Caenorhabditis elegans: one gene and its partner. The protein of the gene in region 2 interacts with the protein of the main gene of each other region in a pairwise test. Each region holds a gene or a part of one and is shown on either strand. Other genes may lie near its edges. The genes, in order: ugt-3 and gln-3.

Evidence for each region.
Region 1: the proteins of gln-3 (region 2) and ugt-3 interact in a two-hybrid assay, tested with the Caenorhabditis elegans proteins (one large-scale study listed by BioGRID).

The regions. Positions count from the first base shown.
Region 1 is NC_003283.11:12,797,559-12,801,918, forward strand, and holds ugt-3 (glucuronosyltransferase), read right to left. Parts: upstream 2,714-4,360; 5' UTR 2,636-2,713; coding exon 2,495-2,635; intron 2,446-2,494; coding exon 2,220-2,445; intron 2,174-2,219; coding exon 2,084-2,173; intron 2,038-2,083; coding exon 1,319-2,037; intron 1,183-1,318; coding exon 769-1,182; 3' UTR 750-768; downstream 1-749. Other genes in the region: ugt-6 (UDP-glucuronosyltransferase), read right to left, coding at 367-519.
Region 2 is NC_003282.8:16,167,213-16,172,617, forward strand, and holds gln-3 (Glutamine synthetase), read right to left. Parts: upstream 3,467-5,405; coding exon 3,460-3,466; intron 3,410-3,459; coding exon 3,236-3,409; intron 3,219-3,235; exon of another isoform or gene 3,198-3,218; intron 3,023-3,197; coding exon 2,861-3,022; intron 1,918-2,860; coding exon 1,443-1,917; intron 1,034-1,442; coding exon 685-1,033; 3' UTR 569-684; downstream 1-568.

The DNA of each region.
Region 1 (4,360 bases), on a different chromosome or scaffold from region 2:
TTGCGTGCCTTTAACACAATCATATGTGGAATTAATATATGCGGATCAAGTTTCCCAGATTGAGGGGCACATATCGATTTCCAGTTCTCATTAAAAAAAACTGTGAAAAGCGTATGAGCTCTGGCAAGAATAGTTAAAATTGGAAGCCTGTATTAGAAACGGATATGAAAATCATTTACATATAAAATTGTTTGAAACATACAGCTTCTCCACTAAACTAGAAATAATTTTCACACTTTTTTGTACAGATTGATACCTTAACAATAATTTTTCAAAAAGTCCCAGTAGAATTGCAGACGTTATTCGAAGAACAAAAAGTAACGCCACGTTTGAAATCTTGAGTACTTTTTGAATAAAAAAACGTACCACATCATTTCCAGCTCTTGCCAAATGATTTGCTAATTCTGCCATATATTTCATATGACTGAATCCATAAACCGGTGAAATGACTAGAAATTTATAAGAATATGCATTACCGAATAGAGTTGAAATAAACAAAAAAAGTACAATTTGAAGCATGGCAAACAAGAAGAGAGTGTATTGGTTTACCTTCTGTACCTGTACATAAAATATTATCAGCTTCGATTTCTCTTCATTTTGATAACTTACTTTTTTAGGGGTATCAACTGCAAACTAACCAATGGACTACAGACTGTTCAAAATTTCGTTGACAAACAAAAGGAACAATTCCACGGGACTGTTCTATGCATAAATGCACTGATAATGCCCTTTCTACTGACTAGTGAATATTGGAAAAAAATTATTTATTTATTCTTTTTTTAATTTCAATTTTTCGATTACGCTATTGACAACAAAACTTAAGATCTTAAACATCACTAATGCTACAACAGAAATTGTACAAACAACCAATGCTAGACTGTCAAGACAATAAAATTCGATAAAGTTGTATTTATTGGCGTATGGTTCTAAATTATCAACCTGTGCAAATCGAGCCGCAAATTCGCAATGATTTAGAAGTACTTGCTTCGGATCCATTGGTTGATTATGAAGAATATCAGAAAGACGTTTCGAATTCTTTCTGTAATCAGAATTATTGAGAATCATCTGGATCGTCTCCATTAGTTTCTTGCTATCGACAAGATCAAATTTGTCATAGACAATGGCACCACCATGGCGAGCTAACATCTCTGCATTTACTCCTTGATCACTGAATACAGGAACCTGAAAATATACGTTTGATACAAGAAGGTTAGCGGGTGGTAAAACATTTTTATATTCTAATCATGAATCTGGATGAAAAAATATTTCAAAAGTTTACAGGAAAATAGTGAAACCAGAAGTGAATTATCTCACTTACCATAATACTTGACACTCCTGCATATCCAACTTCCATAGTACTTCCCAAACCTCCATGAGTCACAAACAAATCTAATCGACTGTCTGCTAACAGAGCTGGCTGAGGAATCCACTTGCTTAAAACTACGTTTTCAGAAAGTTTATTCTTCAACGTCTTATCATCCTCTTCATATTTCCAGATAAATGTAGCATCTGGCATTCTGCGAAATGCTTCAATAAGTCCAGTTTTGAAATCATCTGGCATATCTGATGATTGAATAACTGTTCCAAAAGACACTAGAATGGTGTTGTTTCTGAGCGAAAGTATTTTGTTAAATTCTTCATCGAGTGTAGTTGTTTTGAATGATTCAATAGTGAAACCTCCAATTTGAATCACTTTTGAAATTGTTGGTGTTGAAAATGATAAGTAAGGATTGGAGTTTGTCAAGAAAAACGTGGAGCTTTGAAGTATTTCTTGCCAAGTTCGGACATTTCCACCAGTTAATCGGTAAGCTTGATCATATTGTTTATCAAACAAAATCCCGAATTGAAAGTGATAACCGGTTAGTCCAAGCATGTCACTTAATCGGTCAATTGCGCTCGATTTCTTCCCATAATTAGACCCCTCTGTTGGTAAGTAATTCAATGGAATAGGTTCACCCACAGCGTATGAAGCTGCTCCACATCGAACTCCACTATAGAGAGGGATTGGTGATTTTAGTTTCAAGAAGTCTCCAAGATCTAACATTGATTATTCACTTTGATTGTAAATTAAATTATTACTTACATAAACCACAAAAATCAAATGCCTCTGATATGTGGGAGTCAAAGTTTTTCGATAGAATCCAACGATGAAGTTCCTTGTCCAAAAGCATTTCTAAAAATTGATGAATGCATTTTTGAAACAAAACTATGAATCTTACTTCTACAAATATGCTCAAACTCTTTGTAAAGTTTTTCTGATGTAATTTTTGCAGAAGAGATTGGGTTTTTAGATCCTTTTGCTTTCCAGAAAAACTTGAAAACACTCGCTTCAGAAGCTGCAGCTTTTTCTTCTTCATCGACTTCATAATTAATCACTTCAATGTTCGGATTCTTCACAATTTTTTTGTGTGCATAGTAATCATAAATTATTGGTTGGAATAAAGTCTAAAATCGAACTTATAAGAAATTTAATATTTAAATAAGTAAACCTTACCACATTATGTCCAGCATCAGCAAGGATGTCTGCAATTCTTCCCATAAATTTCATATGACTGTACCCAAAAACTGGGGAAATAATAAGATAATTGAACCCGAAAGCAACGGGAAAAAATGCTAATAATAATAAGTACCTCATTTTGAGTTCGAGAATTAGACTTCAACATATTCTCTTAATTTTTTTCAGGCATTTTATACCACTCAGACTAAGTTCAGTTGCAAACTTTTCAAATGATCAGCGCCCGATTTGAAACCGTCTCTTGCATTTTAACATTATCTCTCTTTACTTGGAGTGTCTATTTCTATGTTCTCTGTTCTCGATGAAAAATTACAAGAAACAAAAGACGTAAGAAAAATAAAGAAATGGAATGTGTAGTCAGCATTAGAGTATGTATTCATGTAAGTAGTTCATCTCGAAAGTGTCCAAAAATGTTTGTCAATTTAGAGATTTGCCTGAAATTTGCTTTGATAATTTTTATAAGTTTATTATGAAAATCTAGTTTTACTCTGGTAAATCTATGCCTCCAATAGACTTCAAAAACATTGGCTTCACGTATCCAAAACTATCAATTATTGTTCCTGTCTGATGTCTAATACATGGAATTTTTCAAATTTTTTGTTATTCTGTGAATTTGTTGATCAATTGTGACAGTATGAAGTATGACAGTTCTACCTATGTTATTGGGTTTCTACAATTCTTGGAATTATTGTAACCGCGACAACGAAAGTTATTTGTTTATATATTAGGTTGAACCGGAAGTCTTTGTGACTTTTTCAATCGTTTATTTCTCGGAGCAAGAGAAACGACAGAATAATATTTATTTGCTATTATTATCAGCAATGTACTGCCAACGTGTGGGCAACTTATGAAGGCCCTGCTCACAGAACCCTTCCAGGCGCGAGTCGAAATAATGCTTGAGTGCCAATTCGACACTTCCATGGGTATTGAAGGTTCTTTCCCGGAGATCACGAGTCATATCTGAAAACTGTCAGTATGCAGATGGGGCATGGTCTGAAGAATACGGTGGGTGAAGGAAAATCATCCATTCATACCTGACCAGTTCCTGCAATACTTGTTTCGTGACGTAGGGATAAGCGTTGTTTTGTTGAAAGTAGAGTTGCTCGTCCTTCAGGGGTGAACGATTGAATATGTTCCTTAGGTTTTGTGGTTAGATAACTTAAAGGTCCCCATTAACTATTTTGCCCCCAGGAAGCAGTTCCCAGTTGATGGGGCCGTACACTCCCCACCACACTGAGAGCATGACGTTTTTGGGGTTAAGGTCGGGTTTGGCGGCACCCTGTGGGGTTTCTCCTTCTACAAACCACTGGGCACGCGTGTGGTTCTTATCATGGAGGACCCACTTCTCGGTTCCAGTGATGAGTCGGCCCAAACATCGATCGGCCCCATGGAGAGTGAGGGGTGAAATGGAATCATCCACTCAAAAATCATGGTTGGCTTGTGTCGAAGAGTGAGGTATGAATCGACCCATAATTTTCTTCATTCCAAGAGCTTCCCAGCCCCGTACGATGATGGTTTGATAGGATTGAAGTGCGGTTGACAGCTCACGGGAGGTTTGGAAAGGATCCGTTGCCATGGCTTTCTGCAACGTGTCCAAATCCAATTTATGGGGTCTCAGAGTCTTCGAGAGAAAAGTCGTCCTTTTCGAAGTGATGGAACCAAATGTATATAGTATTATAGTGGCGGACATGTCGATGATAAACATCCTTCAGGAGACTTTCCGAATCCTTCATCGTGGTATGAGAGAGAAAAAGGTGCATCGAACCATGTCGGATGTGGATGGCACTAGATAAATACATTGTCGGCTAACTGAACTCAGACCAAAGGGAAAGGAGTGGGGTGATT
Region 2 (5,405 bases):
TTTGAATTTATTCCATATAAAAATAAATAAATAAAAAATTGCGCCGACGTTGAATTTAATTTTGAGCCGCAATTTTTAATTTTCAGGGGTTTCACACATTTTTATATTGAAATTTATCAATTTTTGAATAAATCTTAAAAGAAAACACAAAAAAATTAGAAAAACGCCTGAAAATTAAAAATTGATTAAATTCAACGATGACGCAATAGCTCGTAAATCTACACAAATTGGTTAAAAACTACAGTAGTTTTGTCTCTTCCCGCGGGTTCATTTGCGCGGCAGATATGGCGATTTTTCTGATCTGTGGATAAACACGTAATATGAAGTTTGAATTGAATCACACTGAGAATTTCGAACTTCCATGTTAATTTTTTCATCATGTTTCACTACTTGCATATTCTTCTCAGCCTCTCCTTTAATTTCAATTTGTCGATCCACGTGGGATTCTATTTTCAAAAATTTAGTTGAAAAATGTGATTTACTGTTTCAACATTACAAGATATTGCTTTGTGGTATTTTTTTAAATTTAATTAATATCCTGTTTAAATACGGATATAGGTTCATCAGATTTTTTTTTGAAATTTTGAAACTTTTATTTGTACAATTAAAATGTAAATGTTCTTTACAAAAGATTAATAAGTATTCAAAAAAAAAAAGAATCATCACACTCAAACTATCCGAACTCTAATGCTTGGTAATATTTGGTGCCTGGCTTGGAACATACATCATCGACAGTTTACGCTCGGCTCCCTCAAGACACACAGTTCTGACGAGGGCTCCGGTGACGGTGTACGGGTCACAGTTGGATGATGGACGGCGATCTTCGAAGTATCCGTATCCATCATCGTCGGTGGAGCGTGGAATACGAATGGATGAGGCACGGGATGCGACTCCGTAGGAGAACTTGTCGATCGATGCGGTCTCGTGGAGTCCGGTCAAACGACGCTCGTTGTCTTTTCCACCGTGTGGATCGTAGTAGGCAATGTGTTGTGGGTGGACAAGGGAGAGCTTGTTGATGGCGGACATGATCTCGCTGAAAAATTAAATAGTAAGTATGACGTCATAGTTTTTCGAAAACTAGGTAAGATTTTTCTAAGCCGAATTTTAATAGAAGCCCGCGGTGTGTATGGCCTGAAGAACAAGCTAGGCCCAAAACTTGAATTTTCTAGACCAAAAGCCCCCAAGAAATTTTAGGCCATAAAAGGATTGTTATCCATCAAGGTTCCTCAGCACTAGGGCTGGCATATCGGGCGTCCGTAGTCCGGTTTTCACGGCGGCCGACAATTTACTAGTTTAGTCACTCATTGTAACATTTATGATTAAGTATAGTGAGTGGCAAAACTCAGAAAATGTCGGCCGCCGTGAAAACCTACTCCTCGGAAAATGTTCAAGCACTAGGCAACTATCTCACGAATCAGATTTTTGATGCCCTAAAAACTCACTCAATTCCTCCTGGATTTCTCATCTTATCAGTGGAGAAGTTGGTGTGACATCCGGCTCCGTTCCAGTCTCCCTTGATCGGCTTACAATCGAACGAGGCGATCACGCCAAACTCCTCGGCGACACGTTGCAGCAAGTAGCGAGCCACCCACAACTGATCTCCCATCTGGATTCCTTCGCATGGCCCGACCTGGAACTCCCATTGTCCGGGCATCACTTCGGCGTTGGTTCCCGAGATCTGGATTCCGGCGTAGAGGCATGCGCGGTAGTGAGCCTCGACGATGTCGCGACCGTAGACCTTGTTGGCGCCGACGCCACAGTAGTATGGTCCTTGTGGTCCTGGGAATCCGTTCTTTGGCCATCCGAATGGATGTCCGTCAATGTCGAGAAGGGTGTACTCCTGCTCCATTCCGAACCATGGGTGCTGGTCGGCGGCCTTCTCCATCACCTCCTTGCATCGCTGGCGGTAGTTGGTGGCTGGAATATTCACAGTTTAGAAAAAAGGATTAAAGGACGATCCGTTGTGCTACACTCAAAATAATAAACGGCCCCACATTTTTACCGTCCCCTCACGGGGAAAAGGCAAAACTCGGGACCAAACCAATATTAGGCCGCCGACATCTGACGAGTTCCGCGCGCCGCTGCGTTTAACTCGTTGTGGGCGTGGCAAGCTGTCTCCGCCCGCTGCGAGTTAAACATAGCGGCGCGCGGAGTCCGTGAGATGTCGGCGGCCTGATATTGGTTGGGTCCCGAATTTCGCCTTTTCCCCGTGGGTGGACGATAAAAAGGCGGAGCCTAAATATTAGGTTTTCTGCAATACACACCACGCAGTTTTATTTTTTTGAGTGTATGTACTGCGGATCTAGAAGTCAGGTACACTTAGTGCTCCCACTGGGCTATAACTTAAACCACGTCCTAGGCGGGGACTATGGCCGATTATGCAGTCGTGGATTGCTCCACTTCCCAATAGAGGCTGGGCCGAACTTGAATTCGTGACCTCCAGATGGCTAGCGGCCACCACTAGCTATCCTGCCCCTCATTGTTTTGCGTCTTGAAAAGGAACTTTGGCCAGTTCATAAGTTCACTTATCAACCGCCCGTCTTATCAACTCGTGGTCAACCACCCCATCCCTCTGTACATAGTACATCACTGTTGACCCAACAGATGAGCCTCCGAGGGCGTCCGATTAGCAGACGGGGGGCAAAGATGGATGTGTAGTCTAATCTAGGAGGCATCAAAGCACACATTATGAAAAATATACCATAACTGGTTCTAATCAATTGTTAATCAAGGACTACGCGGCACTGACCACCTGACACTTGGACCCCCACTCTCTCTCTCTCTCTCTCTCTCTCGCCTTCGTCGTTTATCTCTACCTATCTCTTCTCTCGGTGTCACCATCGAACTTCCAAATACTCACCGGTTGGCTTCTTCTTGTTGTCATAGGTCTCGCACATCACCAACTTGTTCTTTCCCTGCCTAAATGGGTCTGGGTAGATGGCGACTGGCTTCAGGTAGACGTCGGAGTCGGCTCCCTCGGCTTGACCGGTGGATGATCCGTCAAAGTTCCAAATTGGGAGCTCTGGAAATCGGAGGGAATTGTTGTAAGGTAGCAAGATATGGGGCTTGCATCGAAAATTTGAAATATTTTGTTAAAGTTGCTACGTGGAATCCGAAAATCTTAATTGAAAATTCATACTTTTAACAATTGCCGTTTCAATGACATCTAAACTAAACTAAACTAGAAGCATCTAAACTAGATGTTCTGGAATTTCTGCAAAAAAACAAAACTCACTCTCTGGGTCAGTTGGCTCAAAATCGAAGGTTCTGGTCTTGGCACGAATGTTCTCGCCGGATCCGTCAATCCAAATGTAGAGGGCCTGGTACATGCCCTTTTGGTCCAAGTTCAGGAACTTTTGCAGGACCTGCTTGTCGGTGGCGAATTGACTGCGGAGTGATTGAGCCATTTCTGTAATTAGAAGGTGTTGAAAAATGCGAAAAAAGCGTTGAAAATCATACGCGACATGTCTGGGAGAGTAGGAATGGATGGTAGAAACACTAGTGTACACTGTTTTATAATAAATTGATATGATATTTATAGTGACAAAAAGGAGAGCTTAGGCGGGGGGCAGAGTACTCGGTGATAAGGCAAGTGTATACGAAGTGAGTGTCTTGGAAAGCAGAGTGAAAGTTCTTTGAGACTGATGGGCGGGGCGGGGCGTTGGGTCACGTGGTTCTAGATAAACCTAGATTTATGTTGATTTCGATGACATGGGAAGACAATAATAGTGGGAGAGACACGAGAGTGTTCAGAATGGAGAGACGCAGAGAGAAAACGGGGGAGATAAGATATGTGTATGCATACGTGCATTTGGTCTTTGGACTTGGTCCCGCCAATTTGCATAGCGTTTGATTTTTGGTCCGGTAAAGGTTTTTTTCTGGGAAATTATGATTTTTAAAAATATAAAAAATTTTAAATTTCATTTACCAAATTTCATTTTTTTTCCAAATTTTTGCTGTTTCAAACGTTCCATTTCTTCTAGTAAACTTTAAGAAAAGTATTTGCAGTTTCTATCTATAACATTTTAAAATAAATTGAATTCTTCCAAGAATTGCAAGTTTTTAGCATAAAAACTCAAAAATAAATTCGAATTTTCATTGAAAATTTTTTTCTGTTTCAAAATATTAATTTAAAAAAAAAGAAAACTTTTATTTTCAATACATAGCCGTTTTGGTCAGTTTTCTCAAAGATCTGTAGATTCTATATTTCTTACACCGCCCGACTGCCCATCTGCACTTTGTGCACAGAGTAGCACGGACACCCAATCTTACGTTGTAACAGAGGGGTCACTTTATTTGAAAAACGAGAGACACATGCGTTTTTCACGTGATTCCACGAATTTTCTTATCAACTCTCAATCTTTAGTGATAAAAAAGAACATTGAACCTATGAAAGAAAAAATAAAAGATTTGAAAGTTGGGGAAGTGATACAATGATTGAAATATTTTTGAAATAAGAATGTTTTTTTGAAAATAAATTTCACTGTTTCTTACTGTCTATAATTTATCCTGATTTTTTTCGCTTACGTTATAGAAAAAATAAAAGATTTGAAAGTTGGGGAAGTGATACAATGATTGAAATATTTTTTGAAATAAGAATGTTTTTTTGAAAATAAATTTCACTGTTTCTTACTGTCTATAATTTATCCTGATTTTTTTCGCTTACGTTATAGAAAAAATAAAAGATTTGAAAGTTGGGGAAGTGATACAATGATTGAAATATTTTTTGAAATAAGAATGTTTTTTTGAAAATAAATTTCACTGTTTCTTACTGTCTATAATTTATCCTGATTTTTTTCGCTTACGTTATAGAAAAAATAAAAGATTTGAAAGTTGGGGAAGTGATACAATGATTGAAATATTTTTTGAAATAAGAATGTTTTTTTGAAAATAAATTTCACTGTTTCTTACTGTCTATAATTTATCCTGATTTTTTTCGCTTACGTTATAGAAAAAATAAAAGATTTGAAAGTTGGGGAAGTGATACAATGATTGAAATATTTTTTGAAATAAGAATGTTTTTTTGAAAATAAATTTCACTGTTTCTTACTGTCTATAATTTATCCTGATGGGGGCAGATAGCTCAGTCGGTAGTGGTGGCCGCTAGCAGTCTGGAGGTCACGAGTTCAAGTCCGGCCTCACCCCCTAGGTTCACCCAGCCTCTATTGGGAAGTGGAGCAATCCACGACTGGATTATCGGCCACAGTCCCCGGCTAGGACGTGGCTTAAATTACAGCCCAGAGGGCAGTGTACCTGAATCCCAGATCCGCAGTGCATTGCACTTGAAGAACGGATCGTCCTTTAATCCTTTTTTTTAATCCTTTTTTCGCTTACGTTATATAAATAAGTAATATGGGAAAGCAAAATCAGAAAAAAAAAGTTAAAAATCCCAATATACACCTCAC